2 linked regions of the Coturnix japonica genome follow. The protein of the gene in region 1 purifies or fractionates together with the protein of each later gene. This does not show direct contact. Links are inferred from orthologs where the notes say so. Each region holds a gene or a part of one and is shown on either strand. Other genes may lie near its edges.

Evidence for each region.
Region 2: the proteins of HSPB11 (region 1) and IFT22 purify together in Homo sapiens (affinity purification with mass spectrometry; 3 studies listed by BioGRID and IntAct, with this or other methods). This does not show direct contact. The link is inferred for Coturnix japonica from reciprocal best matches to the Homo sapiens genes IFT25 and IFT22.

Annotation. Positions count from the first base shown.
Region 1 is NC_029523.1:22,426,176-22,431,131, forward strand, and holds HSPB11 (intraflagellar transport protein 25 homolog), read right to left. Parts: upstream 3,082-4,956; 5' UTR 3,048-3,081; intron 2,943-3,047; exon of another isoform or gene 2,886-2,942; intron 2,791-2,885; 5' UTR 2,787-2,790; coding exon 2,680-2,786; intron 2,476-2,679; coding exon 2,369-2,475; intron 2,014-2,368; coding exon 1,945-2,013; intron 1,787-1,944; coding exon 1,743-1,786; intron 1,456-1,742; coding exon 1,348-1,455; 3' UTR 1,205-1,347; downstream 1-1,204. Other genes in the region: LRRC42 (leucine-rich repeat-containing protein 42), read left to right, coding at 3,082-3,542, 4,800-4,931. UniProt on the Homo sapiens protein: Component of the IFT complex B required for sonic hedgehog/SHH signaling.
Region 2 is NC_029534.1:2,513,837-2,519,292, forward strand, and holds IFT22 (intraflagellar transport protein 22 homolog), read right to left. Parts: upstream 3,405-5,456; 5' UTR 3,344-3,404; coding exon 3,305-3,343; intron 3,051-3,304; exon of another isoform or gene 3,045-3,050; coding exon 2,965-3,044; intron 2,890-2,964; coding exon 2,800-2,889; intron 2,476-2,799; exon of another isoform or gene 2,265-2,475; coding exon of another isoform or gene 2,171-2,264; exon of another isoform or gene 2,081-2,170; coding exon 1,878-2,080; intron 1,464-1,877; coding exon 1,315-1,463; 3' UTR 832-1,314; downstream 1-831. UniProt on the Homo sapiens protein: Small GTPase-like component of the intraflagellar transport (IFT) complex B.

The DNA of each region.
Region 1 (4,956 bases):
TCAGTACTTCACTCCATTTCATAGCTAGTCGTTTCACAATTCACTGTAACCACAGGGAAACAAGGACTTGTGGCAAAACCAGCCTGGGCCTTCACAATGTACATATTTGATGTACACCTCAGTCCTGCTCAAATATTTATCCTGTGGCTTATTAGAAAACCTAGCTACATCTAAATGCAAGATCCAGGCACACTCCCCTGCTCCAGGAGCCAGACATGGGCCCTGTCCCAGTTACACAGCAGGGTGTGACTTGTGCACACACCATCTCCTGTGCAACGGCTGCCGAGCAAAGGAAACCCACCCACCGCTCTGATTTAACCACTGTGCTCTAAAGGCTTCTGCTCTGTATATTTGAGCTTCACTGTATAATTTTATTGCCTTTGCAGGGAGGAGTGGGGCCTTGGAATTACCACCCCCAGGAAATACGCACCGTCTTGGAAAAACTGAAATAGAAAGAGGACATCAGAGTGAAGACTATATGGATACAGAAGGTCAAGGGATAAAGCTTTCACAGACCTGAGAGTTAAAAAAAAACAAAACAAAACACTAAAATCTCAAAATCCAAGAAACAACTAGAAAGAGAACAACGCATGTGCATTTAGAGAGCATCCGTATCGTGGTTCACCATTCATGTGTCTGGAGATGTTCAGCTCTGTTGTCAGTCAGCTGTTATGACTGGACACCAACATCTACATTCTTTAAGAATACGGTGCAGGTTCAACCTTCGTGGTGGTGACATTTGCAAGAGCCAATTTCAGGCAAAACAACTGATTTCACATCATTAAGTTTCTCTGTCTCTCTCGCATACAAACCATGTTCCTAAACGTTCAGTTTCTCTCACCTCAGAAGGCTTCTGAATGACACAATCTCTGGACATTTGTTTCTATAATATTTGTTATGACAGTCACAGCATAAAGCACTGACAGCTGTGACCTGATTTCAGAAAATATTTTTAGAAACAAAGGATTGATCTGCCGTTACTCGAACAAATAAACAAACAAACCTCTCAGAGCAGCACAGCTCTCGCTTGGTTTCTGTTCCCCTCTGGTTATTTGCAAGCATTAGTAGCTTACATTCATCCTATTAAACAGTTTATTTTGAGTTAATGAGCAAATTTCCAGTATAAGAACTTCTGAAGAGCTTCTTTGACAGTAAGAAGTAATACCTCTCATTTAAGTATTTCACACCTTTTCTACTCAGAGTGTAAGGGAAACATCTCACAGGAAACTGAGCTTTAATTCATGTATTAACAAAGTCTGACCTAAACACAGTTTGTAATAAATATTTCTTATGATAGAGATACGAAAATATAATACCAAAAAGAAGAGGTACAAATTTAAGCCAGACTTAAGTGTCTTCTGCTGTGCCCTCTGCCATCACCCTGTGCACCGACACAAAATGATCGAAGGCGGATTTGATGATGAATCGCAAATAAGTGGCCTGAAAATCAGGAAGCTGTAAAGAAAAGGAGAAATAACGTTAGCTCATTCTTGGTAGTAACGTAACTATCAAACTACTTACAGAAGCTCATGACAAAGATAGAGATGTTTGTTTCCAAATGAGAGGTAAGTTCAGTTCTTTTAGTAACTTGAGGTGCCATTTCACACCATCATCAACAGAGAAGCAGCAGCAAAGGGCAATACATCTAATGTCAGCTTGGCAATAATCGTGTCTTTCTCATAGCTTCCACCCAGTTAGTTTAGACATCCCACCCCATGACGGTGTATCCCGTGTATACTCACAGGAAATTCTTCCATTTGAAGCTGTCCTTCCGTGTGCTGCAAATCTAGAAAACATGGGTTTGTTTTCAGCAAATAATAAGGAACAGGGTGCAGTGCTGGGAGAAATTCACCAGGTTGAAGGGCCTGTAACCCTCATGCAGCATTCTATGTCTGCAAACAGCAATGTAGCCCAAGTGCCACCGCTTCATGCTCAGAGCTTTACCTTTTTCAACGCACTCTTTAAAGTCTACTGGGTCTTTAGATACGCTTCTTTCAATCCTCAAGCTCCGCACTAAAATACAGATGCATTTAAAGTATCAGTATAAATGCTGAGGTTTACGGGATCTTTATGTTTGTTGCATCATGTTTCATCTACAAAGTACCTTATAATTAACGCCTGCTCTAATGTAGGGGATAGGAAGTGTTTCAGAGACGTGGGGATGTGACACTGAGGGACATGGGCAGTGGGTCATGGAGGGGGAAACTGAGAGGTCTTCTCCAGCCTTAATGGTTCTGTGATGTATTAATGCATTAATGTGTATTAAATGTGACTATTCAGAACTAAGACGGTGCTGTGAGTGTGTACATATAAGCAGAGATATGTGCCCCAAACAACGTGAGCCATGTGCTGCTATGGGAGCCCTTACCCAGGTAGCACTGGATGCCCACTTTGCTGATGGTCACACGCTTTGGAAATCCAATGATGAACTCCTGCGGGAACATCCCTGTTGTCGTCCAGAACGTGTCGGAACTTCTGTGGAGAAAACAGCACAAAAGCACCCGCTGCGGCTCATTGCTTACGACCAATAAACAGAATAAAGAGTGGAAAGCCGCTCTATGTGGGGTGCTGTAACCGAACGGCCGTGTGCAGCGGGGCTGCTGTGCTGCAGGGCCGGATTCAGCTCATGGTTATGAGCCCTGTGAGCAGCATCCCACGATCCCGGCCCGCAGCCCTCACCCGTCCGCCACGTTCCGGGCCGGGTGCTCCGTGTCGCTGGATGTGGCCATGACGAGGGCAGCTCCCGCCGCGCTCAGACACCAGTCAGCGGCCCGCATCCTCACCATGGAGCTGGGAAAGCAAAGGACGGAACCCAACAGGAGGCCGGCAACCGAACGGCGCCGCCCCCCGCTGCCCGCCCCCGGCTCGGCCCCGCGATGGGCGGCGGGAGCGGGCGGAGCGGCCCGGCCGGGTGACGGCGTGTCGGGGCGGCCCCGGGGCAGGTAACGGGGGGTCGGGATCCCGCTCAGCTCCCCCCGCAGCCCGGCCCGGCTCCTGCTCGCTCTCGGGCCCCTTCCCCAGCCCCCGCCCCCGGCAGCTTTACCCACCTCTGGCTTCTTTTCGCAGTGCTGGACGTGGGGAATGTCGTACTGGCTCCACTCGGCTGCCGGGCCGATCTACGTGCGTGAACGTGGGGAGCTGCGCGTGGTGAGCCCGGGTGCGGGCGGCATCCAGAACGGGGCCCGCACAGCGCGGCCTGTCCGCCTGTTCCCCGCTGGGTTCTCCGTGGAGCTGCGTCTGAACGGGGAGGACGACAGGGCCAGGAGGCCGAGGACCGAGCACTTCATCTTCACCTACACCAAGGAGGGCAACCTGCGCTACTCGGCCAAGTCCCTGTTCAGCCTGGTGCTGGCCTACATCTCCGACAACGTTGACCACATCGACTCGCTGGTGGGTTTCCCGGAGCAGATCGCAGAGAAGCTCTTTTCGGCCGCAGAAGCGAGGCAGAAATTCACAGAACCCGTGACGGGACTGCGAGCCCTGCAGAAGTTCACCGAGGCGTATGGCAGCTTGGTGCTGTGCTCCTTGTGTCTGCGGAACAGGTAGGAGCACCCAGTGACACATCAGCATCTGTGCTGCTGTGCTTCAGGTTCTCTTGTTTTCTCTCAATCTCAAACATCCACAGTTTCTTTTCCTACTAGAGTGCCTCACCAAGCTGAAAACTGGGCCTGCTTTTAAAGCTTTGCTCCTGCTGAAGTCTTGGGCAGCGATATAATGAGTCTGCCTTCCATCTATACATTCAGAAAGGGCTGCTTTATTCAGTTTAAACTCAAAGGACAGGCACGTTTATCTGCAGTGCCAAGCACAGCAGGAATGTTTGAGCAGAGGTCAATTACCTTGTTTTATCCCTTCAAGGTACTCCCTCTTTTAGTACAGGTACCTTTTATGAGCTCCATTCAGAAATGGAATTACCTCTGGCATATTTTATCATTAAAACAAGCTCGGTTAAATGTCAAATCTTTGAAATCCAGGAAGTAAGACGCTAAGACATGTTTTATGAGCCTCATTTCTAAGAGCCCACTCATAGTAAAACTCGCATTACCTATCAAGAACTGTCTTGTATTCCAACTGCCTTCCACCCATCTGAGCTGCGTGGCAGAGGGATGTGGTGGAGTGCTTCAGTATGGGCACCAGCACAGAGAAAATGCTCTTATTCACATAGGCAAAAAGGTTCCAGGGATTATAGTAAGCACCCCTAATTTCACCGCTGAGAATGTTCTCCTCAGGGATTGCTTTGCCATGGGGGCGAAGAGGTAAATTCAGGAGATATTAGTGAGTTGAGGGATTGTCTTGCCATAAACACAGGGGAGATGGAGGTAGGTGATATTACAGCGCATTCCCATCTCTAAATCTCCTGCTGAATAGTTCCGGCACAGATGCTTGCGTGGCTGCAGAGTGAATCGGATCAGAGAACCAACACAGCCAAAGAAAATAACCCGCTGTGTAACTGCTGCCTGGGGTGCAGCCACAGCTCTGGTTGGAGTCCAGCGAGCAATGGTCTGTAAATAAGCCCCTATATATAATATAGGGCCCAATTATATATAGCGATGCTTGCAAGTCGAAGTCTTAATCATTAGTCTGGTACTCTGTCAAAGCAAGTGTGCTATCCGTTGGAGGAGAAGCTGGGAGCTCAGGTGCTTTGTAGGCAGAACAGTGTTTGAAAGGCAGTTACAACAGCTGGCTGATCTCTGTCAACTTCTGCATAGATATGTGAGAAATAACTGCATTATGCTTGTATTTGAGAGCATGGGACCTTTATTATCCTCCTCAACAGCGATAGCTTCTTTTGTTCCTTACAGATACCTGGTTATCTCTGAAAAGCTGGAAGAAATCAAGTCTTTCCGGGAGCTGACCTGTTTGGATCTTTCCTGTTGTAAACTTGGAGATGACCATGAACTTTTGGAACACCTCACTAAAGAGGCTCTGTCGAGGTACTCATTGCTTCACATGTACCAA
Region 2 (5,456 bases), on another chromosome or scaffold:
ACATACCTTTGCTTTAAATAAAGAGCCCAGTAATGAACCTACCTGTTCATTGATTTTAAGCTGCTAATCAATCATTGTTAGACTACTATTGGGGATCCCACCAAGTGGACTGAATTCACAAAAGAAAGGGAATGCTGCTTATTATTGATTTGCCTTGAGGAGTTTGGGGCATTTTGAGGACATCTCTTGAGACATCTATTCTTGCCACCTTGGAAGATGGAGAAGATTTGCAGAAGAACAGGCTACTAATTACTGAGGAAAGAAAGAACTTTAAGAGTAGCAGACTGATTAACCCAGATGACTGAAAAACCCAAGCACTCAATTTTGTTGTCTTCAACTAAAATATATTAAATGGTTCTTTTTCTTTTTCTTTTTTTTTTTTTTTTTTTTTAATATTCTTTCTATAAAAGATATTAACTAAAATACAGTATTAGAGGACAAGGCTGTTTATATTATATCTATAAAACAGCTGCAGCTCAACCATAGCTGTGTGGCATGGAACATGAAATGAAATAATCTGCAAGATGTAGTGCTGTGAGTCAGATGTGGTTCTCATAAGCCACTGATGGAACACTTCACAAAGCAAGCTGCAGAACAAGGTAAGATGGGATGCTGCCCTGGTCCTCTCTACTGTAAATTGTCCCCTGGTTAAAAAGAAAAGTGTCAGTATAGATATATTCCTCTGGTTTTCATTCATCATTTCTTTGGCTATCTGAGTCCATAGTTTTTGCAAACTTCTCTCGTTGGATCTAATTAGCGTGAAACATACTACAAATTTATCACAGCTTTCCTCACTAATAATTAAGGAAGTTGATAAGACATACAAGAATGTAATTCACTTTCCCTTTGAGGGCAAAAAAAGATGCAATTTTATTATAAAGACAATTTTATTGCCTTAGTATTACATTACAAAAAATGCCTTCCACAGCAGAATACAGTAAGAACAGGGATGAATGTAAACCAAACAAAACAGAAAGTAAATCAACTATGAAACCACTTATTTCAGTACAACAGGGAACAGTAATCCAAGTTTGAAGCAGCTTTTCCTCCTCTGAAAAATGCAGCACTTATTTTCCAGCTTATTGGAGCTCCAGGAATAGGCCAAAGTAATTGCACTGCACTGAGGTTTTGATTCCTTCTTACTCAACATGACCCATATCTTGTCCCCAACGAGGGTGAGTTTGTTGCAGTAGAGGAAAAGCTGTCATGAGAAAGGCTGCAACTTTGACTTGCCAGAGTCAAAAAGTTGCAAAGGATGTTGCTAGCACGGCTTACAAAGTTAAAACAATCCTTTCTCTTTATTTTCTTCTAGTGTTATGAAATAATTGACATTTCTTCCTTCTCTCTGCTCTCATTTAATACATTTATAATGCTTCTGAAGTATTTCATAAATTCCATCCGAACATCTTCAGGATCTTCTTCTAAGTTGGAATGTATCAGTTTCAGCTTGTTCAATGGGTAAGCTTTGAATGCAAGAAAAAAATAGTTAGGCATGTTCCTAAATGCAGCACTCATGATGAATGTCATGGGACAGTTCTTGCTGAAGACATCAGCTGGAATTCAGTAGTATCTGATGTCTCATACCCCAAATGACATATAATGTGAAAACGAAATGCAGCATAGCTTGACAAACAAGAACTTGCTGCTAGTTTAAATTCCTCAAATGTTATAATTAAGACTCAAAGTATTGGCATTGGTCTCACATTCAATTAGGCATAACTGAATAATTCAGCACTGAATTGCATTTTACTACTGAATTGCTAAGAGTTTTGAATTATATCAAAATTAGAGTGGTGTTATGTTAAATATGTATTAATATATTAATACTTATAATAAGAACTTGTTTGAAAACTCTGAGCAACATTCTGTATTCTCACCTAAGGACAGATTTTCTGTGTCCTCTGCACTGCCTGGCTTGTGATGTGCAACGAGGAGACACTGGCTATCGAGCAGTGGCTGCTGCTGCACGAAACACGAGTACCACATTTCGATTTCTTTCAGGTGACTGGGCTGCTCAGGATTGAAGATTATTATTACGCCATGAGAATCCTTCATAAGAGCTGGCCAGCATGTTTCAAACCTTGAAAAAGAGGAGCATGGAAAATGGTAAGACTGATAGCTGGAAAATGGAAACATGCAGTCAAACTTGGCAAAGTTTTCTTCTCCCCACCTCAACAATGTACCTTGGTGGATGCTCCATCCCTGAAGACACTCAAGGTCAGGCTGGATGGAGCTCTGAGCACATGATGGAGCTGTGGGTGTCCCTGTTCACAGATGGCCATTAAAGGTCCCTTCAAACTCATACAATTCTATGACTTTATGATTTCAGTAGCTTTTTGTGAAAATAATGTTAGTGATCTCGCCAATATCTATGATATTCCAAATAAACCTTCTTACTTATTCCTAAAAACTAATCTGTCCAGTTCAGAACTGTAATCCCGGGAAATTAAAGGCCTCCATCATATAAATACATTATTTGAAATCCATTCATGAAATAATTTCAAACAGATAAAGGCAGGGCCTCTGCTTTGCCTCTGATTTCATTTTGAGAACCATGGACTTGTTACATTCAGTCCTTAATCAAAACTAACACAGTCAGCTGGCATCACAGAGAGGGTTACCCAGTATTAAATGCTTTACAATAGAAAGCAATACATATTCATACAGGAGTGAAGAGGTGGGAATATTCCTCATCTCCAAAAGATCATTGCTTTCAGGGTCTTATGCATGAGAACGTTGTGTATACATGATTAATATGAACTGAATAACCCAGAGGAAGTAACAGCAATGCCTGCTTACTTCTGATCACCGCTGCAGTCCCACAGCTCAAATCGACACCCAGCTCCTTTGCTGTTCCCATTTAAGTTCGGCTTCTCATACTCCAGGATCCTGTGAACACAAGCAGGTACATGATATTATCCACCACCTCCTGCAGGTCGGTTCATTCTACACTGTTGTTCTCACCTTACTCCTTGTGTCGGGACATAGCTGCCAATTCCCTCTATGCTCTCTGAAACAAAATTTGCCAACACGGATTTTCCAGACTGATACATGCAAGAAAATAAAAAGACAACCGTATGAATTCAATGCACCAAAGCCACAACGAATGGAATAACACAGGGTTGCTCCCAACACCCTGCCCTCCATTGAGATAACTGCATACAGTCCTGCCCCTCTGCCCCGTCCCACTGAGGCCCCGCCTGGGAAGTGCAGCCCTTTAGGGTCAGTCTCAGTCCCCGATGAGGATACCCAAGGGTTACATGCAGCCCTAAGGACAAGCAGCGGCCTCAGGGCTCTCCCTCACCTCGCAGGGCCCCACCAGCAACACCTTGGCCTTCAACATGGCGGCCGCCCACGCGTGGCCTAGCAACGGGAGGGAGAGAAGGGGGAGAGGGAGGGTGCGCTGCGATTGGCTGTGCTGCCGTCACGTGGTGGAAGGGCTGGGTATAAAGTAGGGCCGGCCGGGGTGATGAGGGCAGTTCAGCGTTGCCGCTGTTGTGTTGCGGTTGTAATAGTTGAGGGGGGAGCGGGTGGTCTGTGAACCCTGTAAACGTGCTTTAAATGGCAGCTAAATCAAACAAAGCAGCCCCGAGCTGCCATCTGGCACACAGCTGTGCCGCTCCGGAGCTGTTTGGTGCCCACGTACAGCCCTGCTATCAGACGAGCTTTCAAACATTGCATTTAAGTGTTCCCATAACATAAATGTTTATTACGGGTTCTAAATGTGAGTCAGGGCTGCTCTGCTCTCGGCTGGGAGCTGGTTCTGTCTGTGTGTTATTGGTTTGTGGGGGTACGTGTGTGAGTCAGGCTGAATTCACAGTGCATGGGGCAGCCTGTCCTTAATGCTCTGTGCTGCTGCGGTATTTCTCGTGTTTCAGACCCAATAAATGGGATGGGTGACCCAGAGGGAAGTGATCAAGGCAGTTCTATTAGCTGGCACATCCACAGGTACATGGAGGGAAATGTGATCTAAAGGGCTGGATTGTGGGCAGCAAATTAGAAGGAAATAATGGACTAAAAATGGGTAAAGCTGGCTGCTGGTGCAGCTGCCCAGAATGCAATAGGGATTGATTTGTAGATGAAGTATCAGATCACATCCTCCTGTGTTTGTATCAGCCACTGAACAAGGAGAGCACAGGTGTGATTTTCAGATCTATTCATGTGCTTTAGGGCTTCAGGTCGCTTTAGAAAGTAGGAATTAAGCTGCCTGTCCGCTTAGGGTGATGTTTTCAAAGCATCTTGATGTTGATGTTACAATCAGCATCTGCCTTAGGAGTTAAAGTTCCGTTAGTTACTGATCCATCGGCTGAAAACTCAATCTGTAATTGAACTGCTTCCAGGCTGTCCTGGTAATGGTCTGTATGTTTTGCATTTATGATATGGCTGCTTTTTCACCATAACGTTTTGGTAGCAAGCAAAAATGATCTCCAGATGATTCTGTGCGGACAGATCCTCCTTCTTCCTTCCAAAGCAATTGCAGGCTATTAATAATATGTTAGTAAAATGATTCTTAGCACTGGAAATGTCTGTGGGAATTCAAACAGAGATGCAGTGATTGCTCTATCATGACATGTGGTGCTTGCTGCTTGAATTGCAGATAAGAGTCTCCAAGTCAGAGGCCCCTCCAAGTCAACACATCCCAATACTCTTATTTTCTGGTTCATAGTATGTGAATCTAGAGAGGAGATTTAGCTCCGGTGGTTTTAACTCTTAAGCTAAAACTGTTTAGGATGCCTCTAATAGATGTCGCTTTTGTTACTCTGAGTTTCTGTGGAGCAACAGTAACACCTAGTGGCTAAACGTGCCAGTCCATTGCCTTCTTTTGTTCCCTCCCTTCAAGAAGTACGAGTTGGAGGGGACTTGGTGTGATTGACAGCTTTGACTTGAGAGGCCAACACTCAGCATCTCCAGGGATTTGCCATTTTCCTTTCAACCCTCCACCACGTTCTGTTTTCTATTAGAAGTGGTAGATGAAATATGAAACTCTTCCTCCCACCTCCCAGCCCCCATCGCTTTTCTGGCTCATGGAGGAGGTTGTTCCAGTCCATCTTGATCTGTAGGTGGGTGGGCTGTGAGTGGCCGGGTCTACAGCTTCCAGCTTGGAGCACTCAGATTTCTGTATAGAATCCAATATTATTTTTTCCTTTTTTTTCCCCTTCTTTTTGGTATGATTAGGATCAAGCAGATCATCCGATGGATCTTGGTGACCTTGGTACATTGGATAACGTGGTGTTAACTTGCTTGCGTTGAGGCAGACCAAACTGATCTGTTCCAAACAGCACTATTTCTAAAGATGTGGTACACAGGATTGTTTGCCATGACCTGCTGGTTTATCAGAAGGAGATCCCCTATAAGAATAGTGTTTGAGAGGAAAGAACCCACAGATGTTCACTGTGTTAGCAGGGGAGCCCTTCAGAGGGTCTTCTCTCCCATAGCAGAGGAAAGCTTCAGTTTTT